2 linked regions of the Tamandua tetradactyla genome follow. The protein of the gene in region 2 interacts with the protein of the main gene of each other region in a pairwise test. Links are inferred from orthologs where the notes say so. Each region holds a gene or a part of one and is shown on either strand. Other genes may lie near its edges.

The links.
Region 1: the proteins of SDCBP2 (region 2) and ZCCHC17 interact in binary tests that used the Homo sapiens proteins (3 or more experiments, as listed by UniProt). The two-hybrid records come from large-scale screens. The link is inferred for Tamandua tetradactyla from reciprocal best matches to the Homo sapiens genes SDCBP2 and ZCCHC17.

The regions. Positions count from the first base shown.
Region 1 is NC_135328.1:194,559,882-194,567,971, reverse strand, and holds the start of ZCCHC17 (zinc finger CCHC domain-containing protein 17), read left to right. Parts: upstream 1-5,017; 5' UTR 5,018-5,098; intron 5,099-8,090. Other genes in the region: SNRNP40 (U5 small nuclear ribonucleoprotein 40 kDa protein), read right to left, coding at 770-863, 2,296-2,425, 4,639-4,782.
Region 2 is NC_135327.1:23,222,369-23,230,121, forward strand, and holds the start of SDCBP2 (syntenin-2), read right to left. Parts: upstream 3,049-7,753; 5' UTR 2,937-3,048; coding exon 2,926-2,936; intron 1,680-2,925; exon of another isoform or gene 1,547-1,679; intron 1-1,546.

The DNA of each region.
Region 1 (8,090 bases), on a different chromosome or scaffold from region 2:
CCCAAAATCCAAAGCTTTTATTCTCTCTTTAAGACTTTTCCTAATAATGCTTTCTTTTTAATAGGAAACATGTATGCCAGGTTCTATACCAGATGATTCAGGGCATACTAATATTCTCCAGGCCAGAGATGTAAATAAATGAATGTTTAATAAAATACTCTATGACAGGATTAATTAACTGTCTATAACCACATTTTTATATTATCTATAGGTATTCTATAATTATACAGTCATTAAAATAATGCTGTGAAAACAGAGATGTTAGGTGAATAAAGTTAAGGGAAAAAAACAGCAGATAAAATTGTATATAGTGCTCTAACAAATATTTAAAAACCAAACTATTTTGGGTAGAAAAACGGCTTGAGGGAAATGTATCATAGTAATAAATGATTATCTTTGGAGTGGTAGGAATGTAGGTTTCTTTCTGCTTCTTTGTTTTTTTTCAAAATATTTTATATAAACATTTTCATTTATATTTAAATATATTACTTTTACATTGGAAAGAATTTCTGCATATGAAAACTATACTTTGCTTTATGTTTTAAAAAGAAAAAGATTTGTCTGGGCTGTTGATATGTTAGATGAGAGAAATGATAGAGTTAACAGTTGTACACATGTAACAATAAACACCTTACTTGGGGTGACAGTGACTGGGATAAGGTAGTCACCCAAAATCTAGGAGAGAACAAACTCAAGGGTGAAAGGTAAAACGATGCTAAGAATAATTAGTATGAAAAGCAGTTGCCATTTCATTATGTAGAATACTCACCTGCCATCTGTGTTATAATGCAGTTCCATCACTGCTCCACTGTGTCCCTTCAGTGTGGCATAATTATCACAGTCACCATAGACATTCCACAATACTGTTGGGGACACAGGGGTCTATAAGAATTACTAGGCAAAAGAAAATCCATTACTGAACATGAAAAGATTACTTATGAATTCACCAAAATAAAAGGCCTCAAATTGTATTTCCTTGGGACACTACTGGTTCTAGCAGCTAGACCAATTTTCCAGACCATAACATAAAAATAATGGCAATATTTTCATAATACACAAAGTAAAAAAGTTAATGGATATAATTTTTAAATCTCAGTTTTACCCTGTAATTTTTTTTTTAAGATGCATTCACTCTATGAGAACAAGTAGACTGCAAAATGATGGCACTTCTGGGAAATCTGGGAAGCCACAACTGACTTCAAGGTCACAGAGCAATGGCTTTATACTAAATCTACTCATTCCGCATATACTGAACACCTACTACATGGCAGGCATGGTGGCTAGAGTAAAGGAGATAGACACAGCTCCTTTTCTCAGGGAGCTTGGTCTAGCATGGACAGAAGTTTTGATAAGTGTCATTAAGGAGCACCTATATACATAATAAGGTACACAATAGAAATTTTTTTGCTGATAAAACTACTACATATTTTTTTTTTTTGAAAAAAACATATGGGCAGGCACCGGGAATCAAACTCGGGTTTCTGGCATGGCAGGTAAGAACTCTGCCCACTGAGCCACTGTGGCCCGCCCTACAAATTTTTTTTTTAATGAAATTAAATAAAAAATTTAAGGATGCTGTGCACAGAATCTCATGCCTTCCAGTTGCTTGGCCATCAATAAGTTTAAAGATGACAGAACTGGAGTATCTAAATCAAAATGGGCAGTGAAAACAGATAACATCCACCCTGATGCATAGTTACTAAAAGAGCCAAGGGACTAATTTCATTTCATAATGGGGTAAATACAGAGAAGAAAAAAATGCTCGATTATCTTCTCTATGCTTTTCACATGACCCCTCAAAGTGATTTATTTCTACTTATTCTTCCAAAATGGGTATTCCTGACTGGTAGTTAAGAATCTGGCAATAGATCTTAATAATATCTAAGGCAGTTGCTATTCTAGAATCCCCTTTCCTTCCTATTTGCTAGGACTGTGAGTATGGATCCCCAGGAGGGCCTCACAACTTTGGGAAAAGAACTTTTCTCTGTCCTCATTACAAAAAGTTGGAGATCTCGTCTTGCTAAATCAGCTCAACACTTGCCTATATGAGGAAGGTATTCCCAAACCAGAACTTACTTTCCAATTAGTAATATAATCTCTTCTGTATTTACCACACATACCCCAAGTTCTATACCCAAGATCATTTAGAATTCTCACAACCTCACTTTAGTTTGTTAGCAATGTAGTTTGTCATGTTTCCTCATTTTCAGAGATAATCAATCTACACTGATCACAGATAAAAAATAATCACTACATGGTAGAGTGCAATTACATCAGATTCAAAAACTGTCTTACATATCAGTCGATCAAATCCTGCAGATGCTAAAGTGGATCCATTGGGGTGAAACTTGCAACAATACACTTCCCCTTCATGTCCGGAGAGCAGCATGATTGGGGCTTGAAGAGAGGAACACCTTGGAGGCCCCTAAACAAAAGACAGAAACACAGAGTACTCACTGTATATAAGCAAAGGAGGCTGAAAAATTTGAGGGTGGTGGCGGGGAGTAGGAAGAGAGAGAGAGGGAGAAGAGAAAACGATGGATGGAATGGATTTCAGCTCTTTTCACATCATGCATGCCTCTTTTTTTTTTTTTTTGCTGCAAAAAACTTTTTTATACTTGGTTCATGGTTTGTCATGTCTCAATACGATACTCTTCTGTTGAACATTCCAATGATCACCTGCTACATTAATTCTTTCTCTCCCTCCCTCTGCTGCTGTCCCATAGCCAACATTTCTATTATTCAAACATTAAACTTATTTCTGTTGCAGGATCTTTGCATTTGTAGTTTCCCCTGACTCTTCCCCACCTGTATTCCAATCACCTACTGTACTTCATACAGTACATACCACTTTATATATTAATATAAGGTGATTCCTTATATATATATTCCATACACACACACACACACACACACACACACACACACACACACACATCCATATTCCTTAATCACCATCTGAAATTACCTTTCTCATATATTTGTTTATATATTTCGTCTGCTTCTCACACTAGAACAGTAGCTCCATGACTGCAGGGACTTTGCCTGTGTCATTCAACAATCTTTTCCCAATGTCTGGTGCATTTAATGAGTGAACGACAGAACTGAGCTTAACAACAACCCTGCAGGGTAGGGACTCCTGCAGAAAGTAGGATTTGATTATGGCCCTGGACACAAAGCCTAGGCTTGAGCAATTCACTTTCTAAACCTGGGCTGATGCTCTAATTTGTTGGTAGGAAGAACAGGCACACTAACAATAATCTCCACATCTCTTCAGTGGTTTCCAGCTTATTTATTCATTAAAAAAAATATGTGCCCAGGAACTGCAAAAACATCTGTGAATAAAATCAATAGAGTTTACATTCTGGTGGAATGGGAAAGAGAAAAGTTTAAAATATATATATATTACATACAATGGTATGTACAATAGGGAAAAACAGGAGGAATGTGGGATAGAGAGTATGGGATATTGCAATTTAAAATACTGTGGTCGGGAAAGAACTCACGGAAAAAGTGATATTTACACAAAACTGAAGAGCTGAGAGTGTAAACCATGCAAGCATTTAGAAGAACATGCTGACAAAGGGATGAGCAAATGCAAAGGCACTGAGGCAGGAGCATAGAGACCAGAGCAAGGAAAGAAGATTGATGTATCAGAGAGGTAGAGGGAAAAGTGGGCAAAAGATTGTGAAGTTTTTGGTTTTTACTCTGAGTGAAATGGAAAGCTGGACTGAGAACAGATTGTAGAAAGCAGGAGCTGAAACAGTCAAGACTGATTAGGACCATACTGCAAAATCTCAGATGAGACAAATAATAGCTTAGACCAAGAGGAAGCAATAGAGATGATAGAAATAGCAATTCTGGCAGGATTCGCTGATGGGTTGGTTGAGGGTTTGAAAAAAAAAAAAAAGAGAGTACATATATTCTTTCATCTGATTCTCACAGCAGCAGAGGAGAAGTGGCCACTACTTCTTCACGTTACAAGAGCAGTTAAGAGCATGGATTGTGGAGTCAGACTGCCTGGGTTCAAGATCTATTTCCATCACTTTATTTGATAAGAGTTTGTTGTTCCATTTGCAAAATGGGATAATAGTTCCTAACTCCTAGGCTGTTACCAAGATGAATGGATATCACATACACAAGGCACTCAGCACAAGGGCTCCATGAATACTAACTGTACTATCCAGTTCATAATATTAGTACAGAGAAATAAAGGGAAGCTGAAAGAGGGAAACCAACTTGCCCGGTCCCTAAGGGAGCCAATAACATTCATTTCATCGCATTCTCCCTTCACTCACTCACGCATTTATTCACTCTACAAATTTCTACCAAATGTTTATTCTATCCCGGATCCCTGGAAAACTTTGGAAGCCTAAGCCGCGGCCCTGAGGCCAGCTATGAGCCTATGGCTCTTCATTCCAATTCTACTGCCACCTCCAGGGCGGTCGAGATGCTGAAAAAGGGCATCAAACGCGGGAACACGTATCGAGCATCTGTAGGGTATAGGGCGCTTTTAAAGAGTTTAACTCCAGGTCAATATTCTCGTTCCTCTCCCGCAATGCGGCATCACTCGGTGTGGCGCTCTGAGGAGAGAGCAAGAGAAGCCGAGCAGCGAAGGCCACCTGTTCCTTTTCTTACCGCTTGCAGCAAAGCTCCTGGCGTCGTCTGCTGCTGCCCGGTTCCGGGGCCCGACCCCGCCGCTCCCAAAAGCAACTCATGCCGCTGCCGCTTGACTGGGACAAGTGGTAACTCAGGGCCCTTGCGCTTCTGCTGTTCTATCATGGCGGCAGCCGCTCCTCTCAGTGCCAGTAGGGACCGAGGCGGCACGCTTCCACACAGCGCGATTGGCTCGAACTTAGCCTTTCCTTTAGAACTTCCGGCTTGGAGAACCCAATCATCTCCCAATAGGCTGCGTCGCTTTCGGGATAGTCTCTTGTTATTGGGCAGCTCTTCCTAACATCACGAATGCCCGACTTCAGGGTTGGCGGATGAACCTGGAGTCCCGCCTACGCGCGCTGTGTCTTGTGGGTATAAACGCGCCGACTGGGTTCGGCTTTTCGCGCAATGGCGTGGCTGGCTGTCTTCTACTTGACGCCGAGTAAGTATAAGGAAGCTAGGGGGTGGCTACCCGAGTCTGGAGGCAGCGTTTTGGTTGTGGGGTTTGAGCATGGCCCTTCTCAGTTGAGGGTCCTGATTTCTATCCCTGGTAAGTAGTAGCATGGGCTCTCCTTCCTGGCGGGAGCCGAGGTTTGGGCTGTCTGGCGGCAGGACCCAGACCCTGTAGCTGCCGGGTGGGGTGTTGGAGGGACCTCGACGACTGACTTGGATAATCGCCCACTTGTGTCCAGTCATGTGTGGGGCGCTCCCAGGAAGATAAGGCCTGTCTCCTAGACTCCCTGTCTGAGGAGGTGAGGCTTGTTTCTGCAACTGACTGTACAGTCTTTCATTAGAGTCTCCCCTATGCCGCTGAGAGAGACAGATGAAGAAAATATCCGCCTTCTGCTTCTCGAGAGCGCAGTTATATTGAGAAGCTTGAGACTCACATCTGTGAACTAGGTCCTCTTCTCAATCATTCAACTAATATTTATTGTGCGTTTGGGAGACGTTGTGAATCAAATAGTCCCTGACGTCAGGGAGATTGAGTCTGGTGGAGAAAACAGATGTTAAACAATCTAACATCTCTTTAGTTAATGTAAAATAAGTGCTACCTCGGACAGCTATCTGACGCTTTGAGTGCTTAAATATGCAGGAAGCCTTTTCTGAGAAAGAGATGCCTGAGCTGAATTCCAAATAATTAGGTGAAGAGAGGAAGCCACAGCATTACATGGGTGACTGACAAAAGGCACAAAGAGGCCAGTGTGACTGCTTCAAAGATAACGAGGGGAGAGTGGTACAAGATGAAATTGGAGGCGGTTAGAAGGTTAGGCCCTGCAGAGATCTGTAGCTTTTATCTTAAGATGAGATGGGAATCACTGAGGGTTGGTTTTTTGGGTGGGTGGGGGGGGCTGTATGTGTGGAAGGGGCGGTGGCTTGACCCCTTTGTCTCAGTGGTGTGAACAGATTGAAGGTGAGCCGTAGTGAATTCAGATAGACGACTTAGGTTCTGCAGTGGTCCTGGTGAGAGATAATTGGCAATGAGGACTGACATATCTTGGTGGACCTGTGGAGAATTGAACAGATTCTAGAGATATATAGGAGGTAAAATGGTTAGGACTGGTGATGGGTTGGATTCCTGAAACTTAAGAGAGAGGAAGCAAAGATAAGCCCTAGGTTTCTCATGCAGCTGAATACGTAGCAGTACCATTCAGTGAGGCATTAGAATATCTTGTAGTGTTCAATGGAACGCTAGAAAATGACTAGAAACTAGTTTGTTAGTTTTGTTCCTTGGGTTTTTTATGGAGGGATTCATTTGTGACATCTAGGAGGCAGTTGAACTTTGGAGCGCAGAAGCCATGCTTGTGTTGAACATAGTAGATTTGGGAGTAATCTAGGTGATAATTAAGTAGTATGTGTGGGTAAGATCACATGGGTCAGAGCCTTGGGAAGTTCCAACATTTAGTGGCCAAGAACAGGAGGATGAACCTACAAGAGAACGAGAGGAATATTCTTTTAGAAGTAAGGGAATGATCTGTGTCAGAATTTAAATAGCATGAGGATCAAAAAAAGTCTGTTGTCTTTATTATGAAGTTCTTGGTAACCTTGGCAAGAGTTATTTTGTGATGGAAGCCAGATATGAGACAAGGATCCAGGCAATCAATCTAGACATTATTTTAGAGAGGATGTGGTAGCTAAAGGGGATGAGGAGTTACCAAGGATCCAATTGAGAGGACAGAGTTGAATATTCAAGAGAGAAATTGGGTCACCAATAGCGTAAAATTTCTGAGAAGGTGGGAGGGGATGGGATCCAAAGTATAGGTGGAGAAAGCAGCCTTAGGAAGATGGATTCATTATCCATTTAACAGAAGGGAAGGAGGAAATGAAGGTATAGATAGAGATTGTATGTTTGGTACTGGTAAGATGAATTGTTTTCTCATGGCTTTTATTTTCTTTGTAAAGTGAGAGGTGGAATTTTATGCTTAGAGTGAGAGTAGGTTAGAGGTTTGAGTAGATTGAAGAAGATTTGAAAGTCATTGTAGAGTGTGGGAGAATGTGTTTACTAGAGAAATGTAGGATTACCAGGCAGAGTTAAGGACCCATTGGAGATTGGAGATTATACTTTTTTTTCCCCCAGCAACACTAGGCTGTTTAGTACAAGTTTGGCAAATATTGTGGATTTGGCTGGCTCAAAACACGTTCCTGCTTCTAGTGTGCCTTCTCTTACGGAAGAGGCTAGAAAGCGAAAAACTATTCCAATTCTTTCCTAAGAATTGAATTTGGAACTGGATTAATTGTGGAGAGAAGCTGAATGTGAGGCATCAGGTTTTTTTTTTTTAATTAAAAAAAAATTATAAGAAAGAAACTCAAACCTTCTTAACATATGCTCATTCCATTCTACATATTTAATCAGTAATTCACAATATCATCACATAGTTGTATATTCATCATCATGATCATTTCTTAGAACATTTGCATCAGTTCAGAAAAAGAAATAAAAAGACAACAAAAAAAGAAAATGAAAACAAAAAGAAATTATGCATACCATACCCCATACCCCTCCCTTTCATTGATCACTAGTATTTCAAACTGAATTTATTTTAACATTTGTTCCCCCTATTTATTTTTATTCCATATGTTCTACTTGTCTGTCGACAAGGTAGATAAAAGGAGCATCAGACACAAGGTTTTCACGATCACAGTCACATTGGGAAAGCTATATCATTATACAATCATCATCAAGAAACATGGCTACTGGAACACAGCTCTACATTTTCAGGCCATTCCCTCCAGCCTCTCCACTACATCTTGAATAACAAGGTGATATCTACTTAATGCATAAGAATAACCTCCAGGATAACCCCTCCACTGTGTTTGGAATCTCTCAGCCATTGACACTTTGTCTCATTTCACTCTTCCCCTTTTGGTCCAGAGATTTTCTCAATCCCTTAATGCTGGGTCTCAGCTCATTCTAGGTTTTCTGACCCATGTTGCCA
Region 2 (7,753 bases):
GTCTAAGTGCAAACTTCACGGTACTGCATTGAACAATCAAGATTTCCTACTGCAATGAGTAAAGACTATGGATAAAAATAAACAAATAAAAGGGGGACAAAGGTTAAAATAAATTTAGTAGATTGAACTACTAGTGGTCAATGAGAGGGAAGAGTAAGGGGTATGGCATGTGTGAGTATTTTCTTTCTTATTTCTTTTGCTGGAGAGATGCAAATGTTCAAAAAATGATCATGGTGATGAATACACAACTATATGATGATACTGTGATCCACTGATTGTACACCATGTATACAATGTTTGCATGTTTGTTTTTTGTAGGAAGCTCTGGCAACCCTGGACAGTAGCTGAGTAACCGCAGATTCCAGGTGCCCCAGTCCCCACCAATCTCTGTTGTCTCTTACACCCAGTCTGCTTTACCCACTGGCACTACCTGTCTGGTCCCAACAAATGTTTGTTTGCAACCCCCTCGTGCCTCTCCAGCCTCACTTCTTGTTACATGACCTTCTCCCAAACCCTACATTCAGCTCCAGCCACAATGTGCTACTTTCAGATCCTTGATGCACCTAATTCTCTCATGTCTCTAGGCCTTTGCAGATGCTGCTTCCTCTACCTGGAATACCACCTCCGGCCCTGGATAACTTCAATAATTCCCAAGCCCTAACCCAGAGGACCCTTCCTGCAGGAAGCCTGCACTGATGCCCACCTTCCCCTAAAACTACTCTGTACTTCCCCAGCAAGTCTTTACTCTTATTGATTAGTCTATGATACATTTGTCTCTTTACTTCTCCGTCCATCTACTTTGGGTTGGAAATCCCAAAACGACAGGAACTGGGTTTTCTCATTAGCTGTGGAACCTCTAGTGCCTAGCATGAAAATTATCTCAATATTGCCAGAAGCATTACATTCTGCCTGAACTTCCACTCTTTTCCTTGTAAAGTAAAACTGTGATGTCCTACGAACACCCAACTCCCTGGTATGGACACACAGACCAAAGATTACAAATGTGTTTCATCTGGTTCTTGCCAAAATATATATCTGAATTAGTGCCAATACTAAAAAATCTGTACATACACAAATCTTCATTTCTAGCCTGTACAATCAAAATATTTGGTCACGCAAGAGCAGGAGTTGTGCAAGGCAATACCCAGTAAGGGTGAGCAGCAGCCTGCTTTTCAGAAGGGGCTGCCCCAAATAGCCCCCTGGCCCTTTGCTGATTTGCATGGCCCGCTTGGCTCCTGGAGGCAGCCAGTTCCAGATCCTTGCTCTAGCTTGGCTGCTGAGGCAGAAATCACCACCATCCCAGGAGGACAGGGATTATTCTAGGGAGAGATTTCTGGGGGAAAGGACCCTCAGCCTGTGGCCTTCTCCACTGTGCACCCACTCTGAGAGCTCTTTATCTTAGCACAGTCCTCAGAAGTTACCATTTGCTGACAACATGCTCTGCCTCCAGATCATGGATGAATGACAGATGTGGAAATAAGAGGCCACCCCTGCCCTGCTTTTTCTAACATTTAAACAGCACTGCAGCTGTATTTTTAGTACTTGCCTTCTACCAGAGCAGAGAAGTAGAGACCCACTTCCCGGACATCAGTCCCAGGCTAGGGATACACAGCTCTGTTTCTTTGTCTGGATCCATTTGCTGCCACCACCTTCTCTGGGTCCCGACTTGGTGCTGGCCTCTGGGGGAGTCAGGAAGCAGGTATTTCCCTTTTAGCAGTTCACAATACAGTGGGAAATGGCTTCCTGCCAACGACTATCCCATGTTCGCATTCAATCATCGCTCATCTAATCATTCAAAACCTCTACTGGATGCCTACTGGGTGCCAGGCCATCTGGACGTGTCATAGTCTTAATGGTCCCTTTGCTTGACACACCGGCCTTCTCTGTGTGATGCTCAGTTCAAACACTACTTCTTTGTCTAGCTTTCCCAGGCCCTTCACCACCCTGCCAGTTGGCTGGGTCCTCTTGCGTGTTCCAACCCTGTCCTGACTGCCCTTATTGTCAAGCTACTTGTTGTACTGTATCACTAACATCTGCATATGCTTCTCAAGGACAAGGACTGTGTCCTGTTCACCACACTATACTTCTCCACCAAGACACAGTCTGCTGGCAAAAATTATCATTTGATTGAACAAATCAGTGATTATCCAGGGAAGAGCTCTGTTCTGAGGTGTCACAAGACAGGCGAAACACTGCTGGCATCCACGAGCAGGAATCTGGGCCTTTTGCAATGCTCAGCACAGTTCCCCACAACAAATTGTCCTCTGTCCTGCACAACTTTCAAAGGTCCTGCAAGAGCTTCATGTCAGCAAAAAGACCTAACACCTGTTTATATATAAATACAGTAAACTATTTCCCAGTTTTAATATATACTGTATTACTCAGGAATGCACATAACACGTTAGTTAAGGGAAGTACTACTTGGCCTTGTTCACCTTTCTGGAAAATGCCTGTTCACCCTGCTCACCAGTTGGGTCCACCGGCCCATGTCTGTATTCATAGCTTACACAGTGATTCCCGCTTGGTACAAATACACTTAGTATTTGATTCAAAATTCCAAATATGAAACGTTGACAATTTTTACGTGAACGCTGTCTTATATTAAGACCACACTTCCTCATTGTAAGTACAAGCATCTTTTGAAGTAACCCTGCCTGAGCCTTTACACAGAGAAATATTGTCTTCCGCTGCAAATTAGTTTATTTTCTCCTTTATACTAAAGACAGGATATTGCACTGACTTTCTCTCCAGGGTGAACCCTCGCCTCTGCCGCTATCTTCGGGCCACCCCGCCCCGTGCCACTATCGCCCGCTTTGCGACCCAACAACCAGCCACAAACTCCACACCGCTAGAGCGCCGGTGAGAGCCCAGAAATTCCGAAGGCCTGTCCTCCACCCCCGGCCTCGGTTTCTCCATCTGTCATACCGCTCAGCCATCCCCAAGTGAGCCCCATACCGACCCCTTCGCCGCTCTAACACCCGGGAACCCGAGGGAGCCGGCTGCAAGTAGCACCTCCCGGCACCATGGCTACGCCGCCTGCGCTGAGATCTCTCCAGACCTCGCGCGAGAGCAGCGCATCTAGGGCGCATGCGCCGCGGCGGGCGGCTCCCAGGGTGCCCCGCGGCGGCGGAGCAGAGAGTGGCGGGCGCTTCGCGGTGTGTTTTCTCGGCCGGGTGTGTTACAACCGCCCACCCGGCCTCACTCTTTCTCCAGGCGTCCGTGGCCAGCGGCGGCATCTACCAGAAGGGATCAGGTAAAGCAGTAGGGTAACGCAGGCTCGGACGCGCTCTGAGGTCCCTCTTTGCGGGATGGCAGGCGACACAGGTCAAATAGTGCCTTAAAGGCCCAGGTTTCACTTCGTCTCCCCACGGCCTTGGCCCCCTACGGCCATTTTATGGTTCCTGAAGGAAGGAGGGCGCGGTTGATCCGCCCCCTTCTGACAGATTAGATTCTGTACAAAGGCAGCTAGGGGAGGGGAGGAGGGCTGAGTCGACGCCTGCGCTCTCCTCTGCTTGTTGCTTTTTCTGAAAAGGAATCCCTCTCGCCCCCTACGTCACCGTCCCACCCACCCTTTTCCCCACCTTTTTCTTATCTGGCTTTGACTCTTGACTGATTGTTGAACTGAAGTTGCCTTGTTCTACTCCACGCAAATTCACTCTGGGAACCAACCCAGAAGTGACTAATTGGACCCCTGCTGCCGGGCAGACCACAGCGAAATCGGGCTCGCTGCCCATTATAAAGGACGTAGGCACTGAGTCAGGGGGGTACGGAGAAAGGCTAGGACTACCAAGAGGTCTCCTGCAGAAGGCAGGTGGCTCTGGCCAAACAGTGAAGGATGGAGGATTCCCATAGGTGGGAGTGGAGGGTGCTTGTACAGGGATAGGGAGACCCAGGTTGAAGAGTCCAGCTGTCTCCTGGAAACCACCTCCCCCAGGTCATCTAGACTGAACTCATTTTTCTTCCCCTCTGGATTCCACGGTGGCTCCACTAACCCCATCCCCTGGGCTGGGCCAGAAATCTGGAAATTATCCTCACGTCCTGCCTTTCCCTCTTGAAGCCATTTCCAGCTCTTGCCCTCAGAATAAATCTCTAACGTTAATTTGACTTTCAAAGCTCCTTGACCTGACTTCTGGTAATGTCACCAGTCTCAATTCCTCATTCTTCTACACTCATACCCTGCATTTCATTCATTCCACAATGCTTGCTCACCCTGCTCTTTCATGTCTTGATGCTTTTCCAGGTGCTCTTTCCTCTGTCTTGAATGCCATTTGTGCCTTCACCCTCCCCCTTGTACTCTTCTTCAGTTCGCTGCCTTTCCCAATGCCCCCAACACCCATCCGCAGAAGTAGACACGCCTCCTGTCTCTAGATCACAGCGTGTCATCTGTTCACCCATTCATCACACATTCCACAAACATTAAGCACTGACTGTGAGCAGTGCCTTTTGTATTTCCTTTGGTTGGGTTTCCTCTGTGTTATATGTTTGCCAGACTCCATCACTGGTCAGGGAATGTCTCACTCATTTCTGAATCCCCAGTGCCTGGGCATCCGGTTAAGGAGTGGGAAAGCAAAAGCCTAAAGACACGGTCTTTTTTTTTTCCCATTTCCCCGTTGTTTTCAGTCAATAAGTAGAAAGTCTTTGAAGAAAAACCCCAGGGCTGGGAGGAGGAGAAAATGCTGCTCTCATGAGGTAGGTTGAAACATTGGCCCCTACCGTCTGACTGAGAGAGCTTCCTCAGTTCTGTGCTGGGACTTTCTGCAGTTGGTGCTTCTGAAAGGAAAAGAATCTGTACAACCCTTCACCCCCAAAGGAATTTTCCTCTCCTACAGAATTTTCCAGAATGTTCATACCTGAGCTTCTGTACTTTTTTATATAAGTGATAACATTTACAGCAAAATAGCAATCAGATCCTGAGAGATCAGCTGGGCTAAAAGGGGGCCTTCAGCCTCCATCTTTGTATTTGAAATCAGAGTACTCTTTGGAACATTTTGTTCCATGAAGGTTTGGGACTCCCACTTGTTCCTGTGGACAACTCATCCATTCTTCATTAGAAGGTGTGTGGGAGGGAAGCGTGGGTTAGAGTGTCAGAAGAATAGCTCCTGGAAGGCCAAATAAGCCCAGGGATATGTTGAATTGGAAAGGAAGAGGCTGTTGCTAGGCCACCAGCATGTTGCTAGGCCTTTTCTCCATCAGGGCTGTGCTGTATCCTGGGAAAAAAGCTGTAGTTCAAGGAATGCAAATGCCCCCAAACCCAGGGACAGAGGAGATGGGGCAGGAACAAGGACTTTGGAGACCGGCAGGACTAGGTTGAAACTGACATTGCCTCCTGCTTGTGAGGGCAAGACCCTTTTGAGTTTCATTTCTTCCTTTGTAATGTGGGATAACAATATTGCATCACAAACTTATGGTGGAGATTAAAAAATTTTTGTAAAAGAGATAAGGTATGTAGGGCAAGTATTTAGCACAGTAGCCCAAAATAAGCACTCAGTAAACGTCAGCTGTGGTTCCTTGATTCAACAAACATTACTGAGCACCTAAGTCTCACTACCGTGCTAGGTCCCAGCAATACAGCAGTGAACAAAAGAAAAATTGTTCTCCGTGAAGAGTGTACATATTAGTAAGAGAAAACACACTGTAAGGTGGTGGTACATGCTGGAGAGAAAGATAAGGCAGGATGGAGAGTAGTGAGGAGAGTGTCAGAGGACCAGTGGGGATGAGGGGACATTTGAGTAATGGCCATAAGGAGATGAAGTGCCACAGGTATCAAGGGAAAGAATATTCCATGTGAGGGCACAGCCATGCAAAGGCCCTGCGTGCCTATTATGTTTGGAGAACAGCTGATTGGTGGGACTGAAGTGAGTAGACCAGAAGGGGAGGCAGTTGGGAGGCAGGCCTGAGAATAGTGGGAGGACTAGATTCTGTGGGGCTTTGCAGGCTGTGGTGAGGATATTGGCATTTACTCTAGTGCGATGGGAGCCACTGGAGAATTTTGAGCAGAGGAGTGACATGGGCTCTCTTTTTTTTTTTTCCTGCAACTGAAAATTTTATCAAGATATATTTACACACCATATAATCCATCCAAAGTATGGAATCAGTGTCTCACAATATCATCACCCAGTTGAGCAGTCATCATCACAATCAATTTTAGAACATTTTCATTACTTCAAAAATAAGAATAACAAATAAACATTAAAAAAGAAAACCCAAGTCCAGGGGGTAGTTCTTATTCATTAATTATATGTAGGATTAGTTTTTTATTACAGAAATAAGTAGAGAAATGAACAAGAATAAGGGGGGATTATAACTGTACAACTGCTGTCATCACTAGTTAGCCCATTTCCCCTTATGACGCCTCTCGTGTCCTTAGGCCAGGCCTCTGTTTCCCTGTAGATCATACCTTCTAACTACAATGTATTAATGATAAATGTTAGGGTAGCTAATCTGTACCGCTTTACTTGTTATCTTCTGTTTTACAACAGTGCTGTAACCTGTCACTATGACTGCCTGACAATTATTTTAACTGGCTCTGGCTGACATGTTGAGACTAGACTAGAGGAGCAAGGGTGGACGCAGGGAGCCCTGGTAAGAAGCAGTGGCAATGCCGTTACTGGCTTGGGCCGGTGTATGTAAAGCAGTCCGTACTTGCCTACACCTAGCAGGCTCCCTTTAAGCAGTTTTCTGAGACCCTGCTGTGTGGAGGGCGTACAGTGGCCCTTTACATCCATTATCACATTCTGTTCCCAGGACTGGGTATTTCTAGTCTCCAATGAGGAAACTAGTTCTTAGAGAGGTAAAGCCACTAATCCAGTTCTCCAACAGGTTTTTCCTTGCTGTAACAGGAAGGCTGTTGATAGAAATAGCTTCACGCAGAGAAGGAACCAGAAACCAGAGACCTGGGCCCTTGGTTCTTGTAGAAATAAGCTCTTTGCCTGGCTGCAGTCTCTGGTTTTAGCTGGGCCTGGCCTTCAGGGGGCCCACTTCAAGGAGCAAAATGCAGTTTCCACCTCCTTGAGCACTGTGGGCCCTCCAGATATCTGGGCGATGTGTGGATAAAGATGATCACTCAGCCCTCCAACCTGGCCCAGGGCTGGGGTCGAAAGCAGACACCCAGTTCACCCTTCCCTCCCTGACAAGAGTACCTTAAAAGGAAACTGCTTGGGAAATCCCTAAAGGGAAGGGATAGTTAAGGATGGAGACCTGGGGGAAAGCAGTCCAAGCCAATATGGGGTCAGGGTCAGCTCTTACCTGCAAGCGAAGTGCTGCCACAGTCCTCTAGCCACTGCTGAGAGAGTCTGTTTCCCTCCCTGGGAGCTGGTGACCTTGTTGTCCCAGCTGGATTCCTGTTGGTCAGCTGCCTGCCCTGGGCAGAATGGTGCCCGCCCCCGATCACTGACTCACTTTGAAATGGGAAGGAGGCCCAGGTAAGGCTCCTTGGCTGGGTCAATGGGGCAGGTTGCCAGGCCCAGAGAAGAGGTTTGGCCTTAATCTAGACTTGGAGGTGGGGTCAGGGAGGCACACAGCTGCTGCTGAGATAGATAGGTGCCAGGACTTCTTAATCTTTCCATGAATTTGGATTGAACACTCAGTCCTGCTAAGCACAGGGAAGACAGTTAACGGGAGGTTGGTTTGATGCATATCGGGGTCTTAAAAATGGCCATACCCCAGAAGATCTGAAAGCATATCTTTTGCTTTCATTGGCACACCAGTGTTAGAAGTAGCACTCTTTGCGCTTGCCAAAAGGTGGAAATAATCC